3 linked regions of the Arabidopsis thaliana genome follow. The protein of the gene in region 2 interacts with the protein of the main gene of each other region in a pairwise test. Each region holds a gene or a part of one and is shown on either strand. Other genes may lie near its edges.

Region 1 (3,763 bases), on a different chromosome or scaffold from region 2:
GAGGAAATTTAGACGAATAGATCACATTTTCTAAATTTTTTTTTTTTTTTTTTAAGAAGCTTCTGCATTGAGGGAGTCAACGTTTAGTCAACTTGGCACGTGCAAAATTATATACAGCTGGAGAGTTTAGCTAACGGACCAATCATGTTACTTGATTTGCTAAATAAAAAGAGTTTGCAAGTCAGCACAATTCAGACACAACGGGTCGGGGTCGGGTTAACTAAGACATGATAAGCACAGCAACCCCATTAATTTAGTTTGGTGGTGCCCAAGCCGAAGCAAACATAACGCTATGTCCCTTCCACGTCAGCACAAAACGTTCCACGTCATTATCGTCGTCAACATCTTTCTTCATTCCCCAACCGGTGGCGTGTTCCTCCAGCATTGTTTTAACCTCTGTCATCGCCGTCTCACCGAACCCAACTCCGGTAAACTTAGCTTCCCTCATCCGCTCAAGTCACCGGCTCTTCGGCTCTAATCTCTCCACTCTCTCCGCACCTTCCTTGGCTACTACGTTATCTATCTTCCAACTTATATCTGCCTCATACCACTGTCTTTGCTCGCTACCACGTGTCAAAAACATCTCGGCGGTATCGTAAGGAATCCACATGTAGTTATAAAGAGACCGTAACCTGAACATTTGAAAACACATTTTACTCATCAGGTCAAACATTAGTGTTTAGGGTTTAAATTTTGAAATAGAACCGAAAAAAGATAAACCTGGAGATAAAGTTAGTCGACGTGAAATCCGAGTCTTCGTCGATAAGGGTTACGATCGTTGGGTTTAGATCTCGAAGTTCTTTCAAGAAAACTGATCGGAGATTCGAAGTTAATATTTCGTCGGGGATATAGTGAAGCATCATGTGGCAGTTAACGACGAGAGCTTCGTTGAAGACGAATGGGTCGATTCTTAGTTGTTCGATAAGGGAGGAGAGGCCGTCGGAGTAAGAAGAAGATATGATTCTAAACTCCATTGCAACGTTACGTGTGGTTGCGAAGTTTACTAGCTTTGAACCTAGCTCTTCGTAGGAGATTCCGAGCAACGGCGGCGGATGAAATTCAGCGTCGGAAGCAATGACGGTGAGTTTGAGAAGCGGAGGCGGTTTTTTGTGGAGTTTGTTTGCCATGGAGTCTATAAGAGTAGGGATTTGCATGCAGTGAGTCAAACTTAAGTCAACGATGTGAACGGATGAGTAACCTTCTACGGCGTCGAGGATTGCGGCGTTGGCGGCTATGAATCCGAAACGGTGCCATGGCGTCAAGTCGACGAACTCAGCGAGCTCTATGACGGAGAACCGGTGTAGCGTTTTCTGGGATATGGAAGCTGTAGCAGCCAGTGATAGAAACGCAAACGCAGGGCTTTTGGAGGCGGTGCGTGATATTAACGCGCGGAGGAAAGAGGCAGCGAGTCTTTGAGTTGAGTTGAGTCGCCGTCGGGTGAAGCGAGGTTGTTGAGCACCCAAATGATCTGTTGAGCCAACGTGGCGTCGTTTGATTCGATGGCGTTTGCGCAATGGAGGAGAAGCTGCTCCATGCAGTTAGCATCACCGCTAAGAGATTTGGACGAAGAGAAACTGGGCCAAATGGGTCGGGTCGGGTTTAGAATTTGGGTTGTGTTCATATTTGGATCCCCTTGAAAGAACAGAGGAGGAAGAAGATGAAGACAAACAAGCAATGGGAATAATAATCAATGCGAAAGAGAGTTTTTGTGAATAATAGCAAAAGAAACAAAGAAAGAGAAAGAGACGAGACATATTGATAGTACCTTATCAATATGAAACGCACCGTTCTGATCCTCAAAACGAGACAAAACCGTAGGTGTACAGCTTTTTCTGGTCATGTGTGCTTTCGTTTTCGTTTCTCTGGGTCTTAATTCATATAGGCGTTTATATGTCTGAAATAGCTAAATTTAGGTTATAGTAGTCTTCTGCATTTATGGTGGTATCTCTATGTATATGGACAAAACATTTTATTATTCGTAACAGTTTGTACATTTTTCTTACGTGGTTTTTTCCTCCAAGTTCTCGTATAATATAGATATTTGTTAGTTCGTACCAGTTTAGATAATTACTGGAGGAAAAAAACACAAAAAATTGCTTATAAACAGTCTAAACTCAGTGTGTAAGTTTCACTATTTTTTTTTAAAAAAGGTTTCACTATTTTTCATATCTTTAAACTAATGATTTTCTAATTTGTTGTTGACGTAGTTACCACGCCCCGTGGCTATATATATTTTGCTTGTATAAGACAAAAATTTGAGGAGATATTCGACCAAAGAATATATGATTAGGTGGGCACATCAAATCCAATGTTGGGGGAGGATTCCTTTGCCTTGAGATATTAACAGGGACTAGAAGACATATAACCTAGGGATTTGGCGTCGTTGATTTAAACACCACGACAAATACAACATTTTCGACCATAAGAGTTGATATGCCATTATATATGATAAGCTAAATTAGTTGGATACTTTGATTAGAGAAGATATTTATTGTTAATCACTCTTATCTCTTACCCTTGTCATTATATATGATAAGCTAAGGTAGAGACGATCTTGAGTGGGCCAATCACACTTATAATAAGAACTTTATATGCCAAGACGGGTGTGAAAGGACAATTCGTTTCGTGCACTGTGCATTTTGACAAGTACTATTCAAGTAGATATAGGAAGCAATGGTCTTGGGCTACAATGTCAAGGAGTCAATTAGAAAGAAATTCTAATAATACGTTTATATAAGAAAATTAATTGTTAAAGTGAGTTCCAACTAACAAATTTTATTTTTTTGAAAGATTAAATTTACAATAGTTTTAAAATGCTAATATTGTTGGTGAGCACTTTGTAGATCAATAAAGAAAGACACTGAAATTGTTAGTACAAAAATTAGTATTTCGCTCGATCGTGTATTACTGTATTTTTCTACTACCACTATTGGGTATTGGCTGTTGGGCTTAATAGAAATATTAACGGGCTCAAAAAACACATTGAATATAGCATACAATGATTAAAATCCATTATGGGCCCATAGAGCATTGGGCTACAATGATAGCCAGTCAAAAAGAATTGACGTAAAACATATGAACAATAAACGAAGTTAGTACTTGATTCTTGATGACATGGGCCCATTTTTATATCCCTTTGTTACATAAATAAAATTGAATGTGAATTATTTTATATAAAAAAAATCGTTGTACTTGAAATTACTCAAAATATATACAACTTACAGTTACGTGTATATGCAGCTAAGTTATATGTATGGGGAAAGATTAGTCAAAGTTGTCAAATTCATAGTAGGCCCAAAGATGCCAAGTCTGGATATAAGTTCCGGCGATGCGGGAAACAGTCACGTGATGATCACGTGTTCGAACACTGTCTGGTCCTTATCTCGATCGCTCTCAAATCTCCGTTGGTCCCAAGTCCCCAGATTCTTTACGCCTCCCATCCTTTGATTTACCAAATTACCCCCGACATTACCGAACATTCTCGATCCTCTTTAATAATATGTGAAACAGCGTTCTGATCATGCAAGTGAATACCAATTTTTTCTGTAATCTAGTAAAAGAAAAGAAAAGTGTGTGACAATAATTTATAACTATTTTTTGTTTGAATAATTACGTAACCTTATTTTAATTAATGTATTTTCGGTGTATGTATTTGCCAATATGAAAACAATAATTGTTACATACCGACAAAAAACTCACAAACAAAAAATCATTGAACACACACTCTGAAGTCAATGGAATTATAATCCTTAAAAACGTATAT
Region 2 (3,763 bases):
ATTATTTTTAATACTAAATAGGATATAGATTTGATATGTCATAAATATTATTTTGATATGAAAATGTTATCATTCAATATGAAGTGTGTAGAATTTAAATCGAGTTTATTATGATGACATAGATAGTTAAACTGTATTACAAAATTGAATGTGTAAGATATAAATTTATTTTTTCTTTTTCTTTTCTAGATATTAAATTAAATATAGAATGATGATCGGTTACTTTTTAGAATTCAAATATCATTCATAAGATTGAGTGTGTATAATTAAAATAGAATGGATAAGACTGAAATTTTGTTTAAACCAATAATTATTAAATTAAATATCAAGAAAAATATATTGATTATTATACAAATTTCTATCGATAAAACTTAATTTTTGTATCTTAGACCCGCCTAAATAGCAGATGCTGAATTTAAGAGAATAAAAAAGTTAAATTTTTGTATCTTAATTTTTATATAATAAGATTCTATTTTTTTTAAGAGAATAAAAAAATTAAATTTTGAATGACAAATGTAAACATCTGATCGTTTGACTTGACACGTGGCACGATTCTATGAGTTAGTAACTTAATTAGCATATGTAAATTTGTTTACTTTTTAAGATTTTCTATTTTTTTAAGAGAATAAAAAAGTTAAATTTTAAATGACACATGTAAACATCTGATCGTTTGACTTGACACGTGGACACGATCCTATGAGTTAGAAACTTTGAAAACCATACTTTATATAATAAGATAAGATTTTTAAGACTCTAAATATTTGTTTATAGTTTAAGTATACACTAATGCATCACAATGTCACATTAACGTATTTAACTTTACACAACACGTAGGTACGTGGACTTAGTAATGAAAACGGATATACTTTCAATATGTTATAGCAAAAACTAATCTTCCAAGTCCATTAAGACAAAAAATCAACTAATGGCAGTAAAGTTACAGATCAATCATGAGATATGGAATTTCAGATGGAACTTCTTTTAATTTGATACACTTTGAGTCTTTGACGATGGATGGACTTGGTCAGCAGAAACCTTTTTTTACGATCTTGTATTGAATTATGAATGTATGTGTCATCTCACTTTTCTCTGTAATAGTTTATGGTTCATTTCATACAATCATACTGTAACTTTCTAAGATATCATGGAATTTTGTTTACATCTTTAAATGTTAGAAATTAATTAGAATGTCAAAATACAGTTGAACTTATTTAGTTAGCTCATCCTGATTTTGTACTATATTTTATAATTGAGATTTGGTATCTAATATTTGTGCTATAACTGCTAGTCTGCTATGCTATATATTTCATATTTAAATCTGGTAGACTATCTGAAGATGTTGAACACAAACAAAATAAATGATACAAAAACGGTTGTCGTCAATAGAATAACAAGTTATACAAGAAATGGTTTGTTGCTACCAAAATAGAAATCAATGTAATAGTACATTTTGCAGATAGATATTGAAAAAGAACCTTAACAAAGTTAATACTTGGAAAAGGTACAGTTTATTTCTATCCTAATAATATAATTATTTAGTAAACCACTAGATTTAAATAACTAATCAACTTGGTTAAACTAAAATAAACCCAAAGTTGATTTGGTCAGCATTTGACCTATAGTAAACACCACCACTTATACACTCTGAAACGATATATTCTTAATGAAGACCAAAGACTTTCTCAACTTTGAATCTTTTTCCTATTTGTTTAATAGTTTGCTCACTTGGTCAAATTTTCAAACATATCTTTTAAAACCTTTAAATTCCAAAAGAACACGCTTCGTTTTAGTACATTCTCATCATTCAAATACCAAAAATCTCACATCTTTTTCCTAAACCACAATCACATGTTCTTAATCTAAACCTTACTATAAAAAAGTTAAAAAGCTATCACATCTCTTCACCTTCAATGTCAAAAGTTTTTCCAAAAAATTCATAACTATTTCTTCCGGTCACCGTAAACCGGGGTTTTACCGCCTTTCGAATTTACTCAAGACACTAAAAGTAACATGGAAATGATGAATTGGGAGCGGAGGAGTTTGCTAAACGAGCTAATTCATGGACTAAAAGCGGCCAAGCAGCTTCAGGGTTCGTCTTCTCCATCGTTGTCAGCTTCTTCTTCATATTTGACGACGGAGATAAAGGAGAATCTCTTACATAACATAGTTTCTTCCTTCAAAAAAGCTATTTTGATGCTCAACGGATCCACCACACAACACAATCCAACGATAGAGCTTGCGCCTGATCCCCTAGCTCATCCCGGAAAGGTTCCAGGATCTCCAGCATCGATCACCGGAAATCCGAGAAGCGAAGAGTTTTTCAATGTAAGATCGAAAGAATTCAACTTAAGTTCTAAAAAGAGGTAAAAATTTGAACTTAAATTAGCGTTATAAAGAAGAGAAAAGCTTATTAAAATTTAATAATAATAATAATAATATTAGAATTCAAAAAAAATAGCCAGATTTTTTGAATTAGAGATTTGACAATTAATGAAAATTTGCAGGAAGATGTTGCCAAAGTGGACAGAGCAAGTGAGAATTAGCCCAGAGAGAGGCTTAGAAGGACCTCATGACGATATCTTCAGCTGGAGAAAATATGGCCAGAAAGACATTTTGGGCGCCAAATTCCCAAGGTACATCATCATACTCTATCATCATCATCATAATCATCATGTTTACGAATAGTACATTTGTTAAAAGATTGGTTAATAGCAGCGGATAAATGTTGAGTATAATTATATGAGTAATATATACCTAAAATTACTATTCAAAGTGTATTCTCATATTAAAAACTATTTTGCATAATTTAAATATCGAATATGTAATGAATAATTCTGAATATAATACAAGATAAATTAGATATTTAAAATTATTATCCGAGTTTGCTATATGAAGGTCGGATTTGTATATAATCAGATAGTTTTTTTTGGCTAAATTTACGTGGCTTTAAGAAGAAGAAAAAATTAGTTTTAGTTTTACTAATTTAGGACTAATTTGTGTTTTTATTGCAGGAGTTATTACAGATGCACATTTCGTAACACACAGTACTGTTGGGCTACGAAACAAGTCCAAAGATCGGACGGTGATCCAACGATCTTCGAAGTAACATACAGAGGAACACACACTTGTTCACAGGGGATCCCACTTCCAGAGAAACGAGAAACCAAACCAAAACACACAGTAGCAGTAAATTACCAGAATCTCAGGGCCAGTCTTACCGTACGTACCGGCGGACTTGGAAGCGAAGCTTTCTCATTCCCCGTCACGTCGCCGTTATACACTTACGAGTCCATCAACGGTGGTGGAACGTTTTACCACCACGTGGGAAGTTCTGGTCCGTCGGATTTCACTGGATTGATCTCAACAAATACTTCCACAGGAAGTTCTCCAATCTTCGACGTTAATTTTCAATTTGATCCAACGGCTGAGATTAACACAGGCTTCCCCACTTTTTTCCACAATTCGATTTAAGTAGTACAGTATTGAATATTCTTGAGATTAATATAATCCCGATTAGCGCCTAGCGATTTAAGTAGCAGAGTCATTTTGCATAAGTAGAGATGTTCAATATGAGCAAACTTGAACATTCTCTAATTTTTCTTTCTCTACGACGAAGTCTTGGTCTTATTGTACTCTTCCACTTCTTTCTTGTAAGCTTCCATTAACTCAGCAGCTTTGCTATTGTAAACTTGTTTCTCCTCTTCACCAAGTTCCTACAACAAAATTGTAACCAAAACCAACTCAATTTCACAACTAACAGTGA
Region 3 (3,184 bases), on a different chromosome or scaffold from region 2:
TACTATTTTTTGTCGTCATACTAATCAAAATCTTCTACTCTGCTTACTAATTGTGAGATATTCACGTAAAGTACAACAACAACATCAAAAATCAAGATAATTAGACGATTTTATTGAGAAAATCACATCCCCGGAAATATTGGAGTTGGTTCTTGACTTTCTTAAATAAAATTAAAATCGCAAAGTGAAATTTAATTTTATTGTTGAAAAAAAAATATTATTTAATTCCTATAAACCCCTTAAGCATCGATTGTTAATCAAATTAATTTGTGTTCTTAACATTTTAGCAAAATTGTTTTATGTTTTTTCGGTAATTGTGGTTTCTAGATAGTTTCTAGTTAAATGATGAGATATACATACATCAAGATATGATATCTTCCATCCTCGAACAAATTGGAGTTAGTTTTGACATTTTATTTTCTTCTAACATATTAAATCCAACTGATTGTTTTTTTTTTCTTCTTCTTTTCTTTTTCAAATCCAGAAGCAATTATAACACCAAGAATTAAACCCCTAACGAAAACTCTAAGAAACACACATAAATAAAAAGCTAAAGAAGACGATTTTCTATTCACCTACCAAACCAAGAAAAATCATCAACATCATCTAGATAATCATAATTAATATCTTGTTGAGGTAGTTCTGTTGGGGGCGTAACTGGAATCCCCTCTGCCGCAGGAGGATGAACCGGTGGGAAATTAAACTGATAGCCGCCAATGAGAAAACGGCGAGAAGGTCTCTTGCAGATTACGCAAAGCTTACACCTCGAATGCGGCGGCACCGCGTCCTCGTGACTGTGAATCATCCGGTCGCAACTATCGCATAGAATCTGGTTGTGTGTAGGACAATAAACAACAGCATTTGAATTCGAAGCTACGCATAACTCACATCTCATTGCAAACATCCATCTCTCGCAATTGTTATCCCCGTGGCAGCTCCTCTCAAACATCTCTGCTCTTCTTTGGTGACCACCCACATGCTGCTGCTGATGATTATTGTTATTGTTATGGTGAACCACATGAGGCATATGTGCATGATCATGGTGTTGATTATTCATGTTAGCGAAGACGACTTGAGTTTGATGGCCATTAGTGGCACAATTGTAATGGTGCGAATAACATGATTGACAAAGAACCATCCCGTCCTCATAACAGAAAAGTATAGACGGATACATCGAGCAGTTATCGCAAAGTTGGTAACGTACGTGTTCTGCATGTATGTTATTATGATGGCGAAGGTTGTCACATGTAAGGCAGAAGTTAAGAGCTTCTGTAACACAATGGATCACGGCTGTTACATGTCTACATGTGTGACAAACTTGAGCCATGTTTCCTGAAAAATATTCATATAAGATTATAACAAAATTATCAACTTCGCAAAACGGAAGAGAAGAAACACGAATTTAAAATAAAAAAAAACATTCAACTTACACGAACCAAGGAGAGAAGGAAGCCAAAGTTTTGTTTTCTCTGTGAAACAATCTGTGAAGCTCGTATTTAGATGGAGTTTCTAATTTGTAGATTTTTTTTTAACAAACTGATTATGTAGAAGGATATATTTTACTAAGTTATATACTTATCTTTAACTATAAATTATTCTCAAAATTCAACATTACATTTATTAATTGAGAATAAGAAAGAAAAAAGATAATTATATGATATTTGAAAAATTGATCCTTGTTTCTCATTTTTTTGTTAAGAATAAAGTTTTTTTTTTTCCTTTTATCGGATCTTAAAGATCAGTAAGAATAATGTCGTTTCTTAAATTTTGATGTAGAAATCTTTTTTTTTTGAAGAAAAAAATATCCCAACTTTATCAACATAACCAAACGGGGGACAAACAGGTAAATTAATGAGTTTTTTTTTTTTGTATAACTATTTTGCTTTAGAGTTTAGATTGTTAGCTTAGTACTTACATACTTAAGTTTCTGATCAGTCTTTGTTATGATTTTCACATGTAGGTAGGAAGCTGCGCTTTTGTTCTTTTTAATGTGGAAATGCAGCCTTAACAATGGATGGTATATGAATTTGAAGCTGCTCTTTTGTGTCTCTTTTTTGATGCGGATTAGCATGCTTTTGTGTAAAAAACAACTTTGCTAAGAGTTACTAACTATTCAAGTGTTTGTATGGTTCTGTAATATGGTTTTTTGATACAATGCTAGCTTGAACTTGATGTCATGCTTAGGCCTGGGTACGAATTTCTTTTTAGCATTTAAAAACGGGCAATTCTTGTATTCAGCATCTGTGATTTCTCATTATTTTGTCGTGTAAAGTTACTAAACTAGTTTAATTTAGAATTTATAGAAAAAAAGAAGTGGCTCTCATGACAAGTAGTCTAAATTCAGTAGAACATAAGAGTTATTTCATCACAGTACTAAGAGGAAGAAGAGAAGTTGCTCTGCAATTCCTTGATGCCTTTGGAATCAAGAAAAGAAGTTTTGCCCTTGAGAAAATCAGAGTACCAATGAGCAGAGAGTCTAGGAGATCTCTTGCGATGTGGATCACTGAAATTTACAGAGTACAATCCATAACCATAATCGTACCGCCCTATAAGCTCGAATAAATCCATAAATGACCATACAAAATAGCCTCTAGTGTCTGATCCATTCCTACACGTAGCAATGTCCTTTTCCTTAATTACACGAACAAGATAAGAGAAGAAAAGATGCAATAAAAAAACTTTACTTACCTTATGGATTTGAGCACACCACCAATGTAAGCATTCATGTATTCCACCCTATGTGTATCCTTGTGTTGCGTCATCGGTGTACCTGTTTGTATATGACATTTTAAGTCCAAATCAAAAACATGAGGGAGAGACGAATAAATTAATCATAGAAGAGATTGACCATTCTCAAGAATGTAGACAGGAGGATTGTCATAGCTCTGCTTTATATACTCTAGGACAGCTTCCATAGTCCACGGAGCAACAGGATACTTGTCCAAACAAAAACAAAACAAACAATGAAAGATAGATTAGTAGCACTTATTTGTTTAAAGACTTATAATGTCAAGGAATATAAGGTGTTTTGTATCTGAATTTGGTAGCCTTAAAACTCTTACCTCTATAACTGAAAAATTCCCAAGGTCTTCTAACCAGTAAAACGAAGAAAAAATGAGTAGTAACAAATTATAAAGATAAAAGAGGTTTTTTTTTTGTTATACAAAAGAATGAGTCTGATTCA

The links.
Region 1: the proteins of WRKY41 (region 2) and AT5G67411 interact in a two-hybrid assay, tested with the Arabidopsis thaliana proteins (one large-scale study listed by BioGRID).
Region 3: the proteins of WRKY41 (region 2) and BBX26 interact in a two-hybrid assay, tested with the Arabidopsis thaliana proteins (one large-scale study listed by BioGRID).

What each region holds. Positions count from the first base shown.
Region 1 is NC_003076.8:26,897,944-26,901,706, forward strand, and holds AT5G67411 (GRAS family transcription factor), read right to left. Parts: upstream 1,794-3,763; 5' UTR 1,155-1,793; coding exon 721-1,154; intron 633-720; coding exon 458-632; 3' UTR 134-457; downstream 1-133. UniProt on the Arabidopsis thaliana protein: Probable transcription factor involved in plant development.
Region 2 is NC_003075.7:6,757,293-6,761,055, forward strand, and holds WRKY41 (WRKY family transcription factor), read left to right. Parts: upstream 1-1,805; 5' UTR 1,806-2,010; coding exon 2,011-2,363; intron 2,364-2,504; coding exon 2,505-2,633; intron 2,634-2,985; exon of another isoform or gene 2,986-3,011; coding exon 3,012-3,471; 3' UTR 3,472-3,502; downstream 3,503-3,763. Other genes in the region: 3xHMG-box1 (HMG (high mobility group) box protein), read right to left, coding at 3,606-3,713. UniProt on the Arabidopsis thaliana protein: Transcription factor. Interacts specifically with the W box (5'-(T)TGAC[CT]-3'), a frequently occurring elicitor-responsive cis-acting element.
Region 3 is NC_003070.9:22,216,506-22,219,689, forward strand, and holds BBX26 (B-box zinc finger family protein), read right to left. Parts: upstream 1,328-3,184; coding exon 572-1,327; downstream 1-571.